Linked DNA regions of Mus musculus. The protein of the gene in region 1 binds, or shares a complex with, the protein of each later gene. Links are inferred from orthologs where the notes say so. Each region holds a gene or a part of one and is shown on either strand. Other genes may lie near its edges.

The links.
Region 2: the proteins of Src (region 1) and Ptpn1 are in contact, whole or in part, in a crystal structure (PDB 3ZMQ), measured with the Homo sapiens proteins. The link is inferred for Mus musculus from reciprocal best matches to the Homo sapiens genes SRC and PTPN1. Residues at the interface, in NP_005408.1 of Homo sapiens: Glu527, Gln529, Tyr530, Gln531, Pro532; in NP_002818.1 of Homo sapiens: Arg45, Tyr46, Arg47, Asp48, Val49, Asp181, Phe182, Ser216, Ala217, Gly218, Ile219, Gly220, Arg221, Ser222, Gln262.

Annotation. Positions count from the first base shown.
Region 1 is NC_000068.7:157,462,270-157,466,071, forward strand, and holds part of Src (neuronal proto-oncogene tyrosine-protein kinase Src), read left to right. Parts: intron 1-440; coding exon 441-539; intron 540-709; coding exon 710-813; intron 814-2,359; coding exon 2,360-2,509; intron 2,510-3,603; coding exon 3,604-3,759; intron 3,760-3,802. UniProt on the Homo sapiens protein: Non-receptor protein tyrosine kinase which is activated following engagement of many different classes of cellular receptors including immune response receptors, integrins and other adhesion receptors, receptor protein tyrosine kinases, G protein-coupled receptors as well as cytokine receptors.
Region 2 is NC_000068.7:167,930,666-167,935,267, forward strand, and holds the start of Ptpn1 (tyrosine-protein phosphatase non-receptor type 1), read left to right. Parts: upstream 1-1,661; 5' UTR 1,662-1,828; coding exon 1,829-1,891; intron 1,892-4,602. UniProt on the Homo sapiens protein: Tyrosine-protein phosphatase which acts as a regulator of endoplasmic reticulum unfolded protein response. Mediates dephosphorylation of EIF2AK3/PERK; inactivating the protein kinase activity of EIF2AK3/PERK.

The DNA.
Region 1 (3,802 bases):
AGGGATAGGCCTGAACTATTGCCGGGCCAGAAGCGCCAGCCCTTGTCTCCATCGGGCATCCAGGCTCTCAGGGCTTGGGGAGAGTTTGAAGGTCTAATGTGGCATCTATCTCATGTAAACTCTGCTTTTCCCATCCCTGCCCCAGACAGCGAGCTTCCTCCCTTCCTCTCTCCTAAGGCACCTGCAGGCCACTCTGCGCTTCTGGACACTTCAGTCTGGGGTGCGTGGGGCTCAGTTCTGCTGAGGTTTTAGGTGGCATCCCTCTGGGTCAGTATGTCATTATGGAGGTGGATGTCCCAGGCCAGTTCCTGCTGGCTTGCTGTGTACGCAGGCTGGCTCAGCTTCCTCTGCTGCGGAGCCTGGCCGTGTACCTGGGGAGGTCAAGGTTACCGACCCCGATCCCCCGTGACCTCATTCTTTGCTCCCTCCCTCCTGCTCAGAGAGGGAGACTGGTGGCTGGCACACTCGCTGAGCACGGGACAGACCGGTTACATCCCCAGCAACTATGTGGCGCCCTCCGACTCCATCCAGGCTGAGGAGTGAGTATGTTGTTCGGCTATGGTCCGCTGCCACCACCACTTCTAGTACCGAGTCCCTCGTGGGCCCGAGTGGGTAGAAGGCTGGCCACACTGAGGTCTCAGTACCCAGGGCCAGCACTGTGGGCAGCGAACCCTGGCCAACAGGCACAGCCTTGTCCCTCCCACTCCAGGTGGTACTTTGGCAAGATCACTAGACGGGAATCAGAGCGGCTGCTGCTCAACGCCGAGAACCCGAGAGGGACCTTCCTCGTGAGGGAGAGTGAGACCACAAAAGGTATGCCTGAGTGAGCGGTGGCTGGCAGAGTTCAGCTTTGAGGGTATTACTTGAGCTGGGTATTGGAGAGTGAATAGGAGTTTGGTACATGAGATGGGGAGGGGAGAGCCTTGCAGTGGAGGAGGTAACAGGAATTAAAGTTAAAGTGGCACTTGAGGAAGACTGAATGATCCAGAGGTGGACAGGACACGCAAGCTAAGGCTTCCTCTGGCCTCAGTTTCTCACATGGAGAGTGGGTACAGTTTACCAGGAGTGTGACACAGCTGTGGATATGTTTTACAGATGGGAACAGGAGCCGTATGCCCCTCTGTTTCCCTTTTCCCTTTCCCAGGGGCCTTTTCTGGCCTTACCCTTCCCCCACACTGTCTCTGCTGTTTCTGCCCTTTCTCTTAGTCCATCACCATGGCAACCAAGCCAGGCTGCTTCCTGTGGGCCTGGGGCTCAGCGGGAGATGGAAAAGTGCACATACACACACACACACACACACACACACACACACACACACCCGTGTGCTGTGCACAGTACACAGGGATGATGGGTGTGTGGTGTGTGTGTGGTGTGGTGTGTGGGTGGGTGTGTGTGTGTGGTGTGGTGTGCTCGCTCACTGTTGGGGTTGGGCAGTGTTGCTGGAGTGAAATGTGGCGAGGTCCCGGTTCCTGGGGCTTGGGGGTATGGGCAAATGTGAGAATGTGGGCTCTGGGCATAGGTATGCCGTCAGCGGAGCCTTCTGTGTGCACATGAAGTGGGCAGTCAGTCTGTAGAAAACATGACTTCCCAAGGGTTGCCTTGAGACAGGTTAGGGTGGGTCCCAGGCCTAGTTCTCCCTGACTCACTTATGTTACCAGAAGATCACATTTACCTAATGACGTCCAGTGGGGCTCCAGGGGCCTCATCAGTGAGTGGTGGACAGTCCGTCAGTCCTTCCACTCAGAACTGCCAGCTACATGGCAGGCCGCTGGACCCTGCACCCCGCCTGCCTCTCCCCAGGCTATCCAGGCTATCCAGGCTATCCAGGCTTTAGTTAACAAAGGTTTCTGTTGAGGACATTCTTAGCTGCAGGTTTTCTAGGCTCCAGAGAGGCAGCGCAGGGGCAAGGGCTGCAGGCCACACTCAGGATGTACCTCCTGCCCTGGACTAATTACTCACAGGTCCACACAGCCAGCCGCTACTCCTGTCTGCTCAGCTGGTGTCCAGTAGGCAGAACAGGGCAGGCAGGCACGGGGTGGGTATACCTGGAGAGGGCCAGCATTTATGGAGTGCTTGCTGAGTACCGTGTGACTCTTCACGGTTGTCTCATTGTGTAGGGAGGAAACAGGGCAAGCAGCAACTTGTCAGGGTCACACAGTTGTGAGCACCTTGGGGTTCAGGTGTCTTACCAGGGCTGTGAGGCACAGGGGCATGTCTGCCATTGGGGTTTTGTGCCTACACGGCTGCCCTGCTCCTCTCAGCACACTAGGGGCTGAAAGAGAGTGGGACTAAGTCACTTCCTCAAGCAAGGAACACACTAGCAGGGTACCTCTGGGGTCTCCTCCCTGCCTACCCACAGGTGCCTACTGCCTCTCTGTATCCGACTTCGACAATGCCAAGGGCCTAAATGTGAAACACTACAAGATCCGCAAGCTGGACAGCGGCGGTTTCTACATCACCTCCCGCACCCAGTTCAACAGCCTGCAGCAGCTCGTGGCTTACTACTCCAGTGAGTGTCCCCGGCCGGCCGTGTGGGGACTCGCCCAGGGGAGCAGGGTGTCTGCCGTGCCTCCTCACCCCTGGGATGCCTCTTCCCTCCCTGCCTCTCCTCCATCTCCTCCCTTCTCCCCTTGCTCCCTGCCCAGCCCCCCTCTTCTCCTTCCGCTGCAGCTGGCCAGTGAGGAGGGGGCCTGCCTTGAGCACGCTAGAAGGGAGGGGCTAGAGGCTGGTGTTGATTGTTTCTGCAGCCCTAAGACTGGTCTGAACCGGTTCCTGGGAGAGAAGGAGGGGGAGGCTTCTTTGATAGAGAATGGCAGAGCGGGCTGGAGCTGGGCTGCGGGCCGTGTGCAGTGATGGGGTTGGTGTGGGCTCTTCTGTGCGTGGCTGTTTCAGGTGTAGCTACTTGAGCTGCCTCCTTGGCCTGGGCCTCAGCCTCTCTCAGAGGACTAGCTGCCCCTCTGTCCGTCTGCTGATGCTCTGGGGATCATCTGGTTCCCAGACCAAATCCTCCAGGGCTGCCACGGAACCTTATGATACAGTCCCAAGGCCCCAAGCCCAGGTGGCTAAAGGTTGCTCCATGCCTTCACCTGCAGTTCCTCCAACCGCATCTACAGCTTCCCACCTCCCAGCACCTCTTCCAACCCCACAGCCGATCTTGGGCTCTGGCACAGGCGATGTGCTGTATGGGGTGCCTCCTAGTTATCCCTCAGATCCAGGCCAGGGACCTCTTCCTCTGGAATGCCTTCCAGGGCTCCCAAAGAATTCCTAAAGCCTGCTTGACTTCCCCCTCCCAAATATCCTCTGTTTCATCTGTGTCCTGAGATCTTGCTAGGCGACTGGAGTCGGGGTGTGGCCTCCCTAGGGCAGACTCTCACACCTGTTTCACACTAGTTCTGATACTCTCAAATCTGACAGGTAACCAATGAGTGATTTGAGCAGGTGACTTTTGTGCCGCAGGCCCCTGGGGAATAGATGTCTACAGGAGGGTGTTTGCCTGACCCCAGAGCCAATGTGCACATGATACATAGAGCCGTACACACAGGGCAGGGAAGCCAGCTTGCTGTGGGACCCTGCCTGAGCCCCATTCCCTGCCTCCATCTCCAGAACATGCTGATGGCCTGTGTCACCGCCTCACTACCGTATGTCCCACATCCAAGCCTCAGACCCAGGGATTGGCCAAGGATGCGTGGGAGATCCCCCGGGAGTCCCTGCGGCTGGAGGTCAAGCTGGGCCAGGGTTGCTTCGGAGAGGTGTGGATGGGTAAGGAACACACGCCCCTGTCCCCATCCCAGCTCAAAGACCC
Region 2 (4,602 bases), about 10 Mb from region 1:
GTCTGTGTGCTTTGCTCTTGGCAGCTCTAAGATGGGAATCAAAATGCCTCTGTGAGGGGGGATTGTGGAGAGTAAATGAACATGGGCCCTTTTGCCTACCTCAGTACCCTTGGAGCAAACTGGAAGTCACTCTGTCACACCAGGAGCTGGCACTGGGCACAGGACACGGCTCCTACCTATGTCTCCCTTTCTATCCCAGAATGGAAGTTTACAACTCCATGTTCCAGTTACATTTCCCCAGGGAAGGCAATCCCATCCTTCACACATACTTCAAGGAACCCAAGCATCGGAACCAACATTCAGTGCTCACCCTGGGCAGTCTGAACAAACCACAGAATCTGCACCCAGATGACATCAGAGAGGAAGATTTTTTTTTTCTTTTAAACATGTTTTTAGATTTATTTGTATGATGGTTTTGTATGCATGTATGTACAGTAGTATGGTATCACATGTATACCCTGTGCCCTTGAAGGTCAGAAGACGGCCTGAAACTAGAGTTAGGATGGTTATGAGTCACCAACAAACCCCAAGGAAGATTTTTTCCCTTTTGGTTGTTTTTTTGTTTTGAGAAGGGGTCTCACTGTATAACTGGCTGTCCCGGAACGATGTAGACCAGGCTGGCCTGGAACTCAGAGACCCCTTGCTTCTACCTGGAGAGTTTAAAGGCAAGTGCCACCACATCTGGTCAGGATTTTCTTGATACTGGAGAAAGACAGAAAACTAGCACCACATGTCCCATCCGTTCATTCTGCCAGGGTAAAAACTCTTATGGACTTTCCCAAGTTTCATGAGAGCAGAGTGGCCAGCTGGGTGTTAGCACCTGTCCAAAACTCCGGAGACTGAGGCAGGCAGATCCAGAGCTGGAGGCTGGCCTGGGTTACGTAGTGAACTCCAGGCCAGCTCGGGCTATAGAGTGATTCGTTGTCTAAAACGAACACTCTGCTCGCTGGGATGTGGCCGGAGTAGGTCCTAGCATGCACGGAGCTCTGGTTTATCCCCCGCAATGCATGTCTGTGATTCCAAGACGTGGGAGATGGAGGCGAGAGGATCATCCTTCGCCTGACAGCAAATAAGAGGTTATCCTTGGCCTGACAGCAAGTGAGAGGCCAGCCTGGAATATCGTGACCCTGAGTTAAAAATAAAGAACGGAGCCCGAAGTGATGGCACACACCTTTAATCCCAGAACTCGGGAAAAAGGCAGCCGGATTTATGAGTTCGAGGCCAGTCTTGGTCTACAGAGTGAATGTGAGGACGTCCAGGGCTACGCACAGAAACCCTGTCTGGAAAAACCAAGACAAAAAGGAAAAAAAGAAAAAAGAAAAACAGACCGGGACAGGAAACGCCGCTCCCACTCAACCGCCCAGCTCGAGGCCACGCCCTCGCCGCCTGACTCAACCGGCGGGCTTGAGGCTCGAACTCAGGATACTCCCCGAGTCCCGCCTCGGCCCACGCGCCGTGGGCGCGCCGCCGGGGGTCGCTTGGGCAACGGGCGCGCGCCCTCCGGAGCGCGGAACCCGGGAAGCCGCACGCGGCGCGCGCAGCAAGTCTGCTCCTCGGGTTCGGGCCTCGTCCGCGATGCCCCGCCTACCGCTCCGCCCCCGCGGAAGTGCCGGCCGCCTTTTCGCTAGCTGACTGGTCCTCCCGTACAGAGGGCGGAGCTCGCGGTGAGGCGGGGGTGCGTACTTCCGGCTGCCGGCTTGACATGCAGAAGCCGCTGCTGGGGAGCTTGGGGCTGCGGTGGTGGCGGGTGACGGGCTTCGGGACGCGGAGCGACGCGGCCTAGCGCGGCGGACGGCCGTGGGAACTCGGGCAGCCGACCCGTCCCGCCATGGAGATGGAGAAGGAGTTCGAGGAGATCGACAAGGCTGGGAACTGGGCGGCTATTTACCAGGTGCGGAGCCGGGGGCCCCTAGGCCGCGCCGTCTCCCCGACCCTCCCGGCTCGGGGGACTCCTGTCGCGCATCCTCGTCGCCCTAGACCCCTCTTGGGGTTCGCGGCCCCTGCGACACCCCCACTCGCCTCTATCTCTCCGCGGTCCCTGTCATCTTCGAGCTCCCCCCGCAAACCCGACCCCAACATGGCCCAGCCACCCTTTGTCCCCACTGGTCCACACCCCTGCCGCTTCCTTGTCTGGACTGGACCACCTCAGGCCCTCTTCCTTTGTCTCCTGGGGAGGAGGGTGGGCTCGCCGACACCCCCGCCCCCTCACATTTCACTTCCTCGGGCCTCGGTGTGCGGTGGTGGAGGCCCGGGGATGACAGCCCCCTTACTCCTTCCTGTCCATTCATTTGTTAGACGTGAGCTGGAGGGTCTCTTCGGTGCTAGGCTTTGGAGCTGGTGTGTATTGAACGCCACCGTAGACCTAACCTATCCCCCCCCCCCCGAGAGGCTATAGTCACACAGACATTCAAATACTGATCATTGCATCTGGTGACAAGTGTTGAGAAGAGAAAGACCTGTTCTGGTGGAGGGTGACTGTACGCAAAGGGGCTGCCTTGTCTAGGGCATCACCGGCAGGGCTGCTAGCGGCTCGACAGGGAAGGAGACTTGCTCTTTGAATAGACCAAGGAGTGACAAGCCATGAGGTTAGGCGACTAACTAGGGGGACACAGAACCCATTCCTATAGCTGCCTGACCCTCTCCAAATGGCCTCTTTCTTTTGTCTTTTATCCTTTGACCGTGAGCTGAGATGGTTTCTGTTTTCTGTGATCCGGTCCACTTGAGGGGTTCTGGTGGTTCATTAAAAAAAAAAAAAGTATTATGAAAGTAGGGTTCTCCCCCCCACCCCCCGCCATGTATGAAACAGTGAATTGAAAATGCAAAGATGTCTTTGCAAGCAGCTAAGTCCTCTAAAGAAAACAAATCTTCCGATTAAATGTCAGTGCGGGGGTTGTGAGGATTAACCATACTCGCCAGGCATCTTAAATAAGCATGTGCAAAATAGATCCTGTTCCTCGGGTAAAGAGAGCAGGCGGTTTATTCTGCTTTCAGCTTCTAGGTTCAAAAGACAGCGGGTGAGACCCATCAGCTGGAAATTGAAATCTATTTTGAGCTTCACTTAGGAAAGTAGGCACCCTCAGGCTGTTGTTTGGTGTTCTTGACTGACAAAACCTTTTTTGGGGGGTTGCCTTGGTTTCCAGATTCTTTGACAGGGTTCTTTTTACTTGGGCCTCGGTGTGCTCGTCAGCTTTTTTGGGGGGCAGATATTTGTAGCTAGTGTAATCTGTGTCAGTCGAGCGATCAATTGTAACATTTGTATTGCACGTCTAGTCTATGAATTGGCTGGACAGATTCCACTAAGGAGTCAGGTCTGTGGGCAGATTTTCTGTATCAGATTAAATGCAAGGGGATCCCAGTGTAACAACAGCACGTGAAGATTGTTCTGTAAGCCACTCTGATGTGTGGAGGTTGTTGGCTAAACAGACCGTCCCAAGTGGAGACCGTTGAATCTTTAGTACTGAGACAGACTTATTTGGTAACAAATTGGCATCATTAATAAGTTATGGTAGAATGTGGTTTTTTACGCTTTTAGGTTAGAGTGGCCTGCCCCGACATCTAAGCCTTGTTAAAGCTGGCGCAGAGTGGGCTGGCTTTGAAATCTGTTTTCTTCATTCTTCTCCAATTTCTCCTCCACACTTAAGCCCCACACGTTAGTAAATTGCTAGTAATAGTAATAGTAAGCCCCACAAGTTAAGTACGATGCCAGGGTCCGCACAGCCTGTTCACAAGTGCTTGTGCCCTTGGTTCCCCAGTGTGAAGGTTTTATGTTCTCTCTCTCTCTCTCTTCTTTTTGTTTTTTAGAGATAAGGTTTCTCTGTGTAGCCCTGGCAGTCCTGGAACTTGCTCTGTAGACCATCTGGCTGGCTTTGAACTCAGAGATCAGGCTGTTTTTGTTTCTGGAGTGCAGGGATTAAAGGAGTGTGCCACCCTGCATATTTGTAGTTTTGAAGATGGTTATGGAAGTGCTCCTGTTTTACATTTTAAAAGTAGCCTTTTGACTTACAGTTGTGAGCATTTTGTTGTTGTTTTATTTTGTCTTTTTGCTTTTTGCTCAAGACAAGGTTTCTATATGTAACAGTCCTTGGCTGTCTTGGGGCTCCATTTGCAGACCAGGCTAACCTCCAACTCAGAAATCTTCCTGCCTCTGCTTCCAGAGTGCTGGGATCAAAGATGTGTGCTTCAATTGTGCCACTTTTTAAAACCAGTATTTGAATGACCTTGAGTGAATGACCTAAAGCTGTTTTTCTAATATAAAGGATAATTTCTCTAAACCTTTTGTTTCAGCTTAAAGAAAATATGTTTACGATTGGTGGAAAATAAAAGGGTTGAGTTGTTTTTTTTTTTTTTTGGTTTGGTTTGGTTTGGTTTTTGGTTTTCCGAGACAGGGTTTCTCTGTGTAGCCCTGGCTGTCCTGGAACTCACTCTGTAGACCAGGCTGGCCTCCAACTCAGAAATCCTCCTGCCTCTGCCTCCTGAGCGCTGGGATTAAAGGTGTTTGCCACCACTGCCTGGCAGTTTTTTTGTTTTTTATTTTTGTTTTGTTTTGTCTTGTAGTAAGTGTGTGACAGCGTGTCATAGTGGGCAGCCTTATCAGAAGTCCTG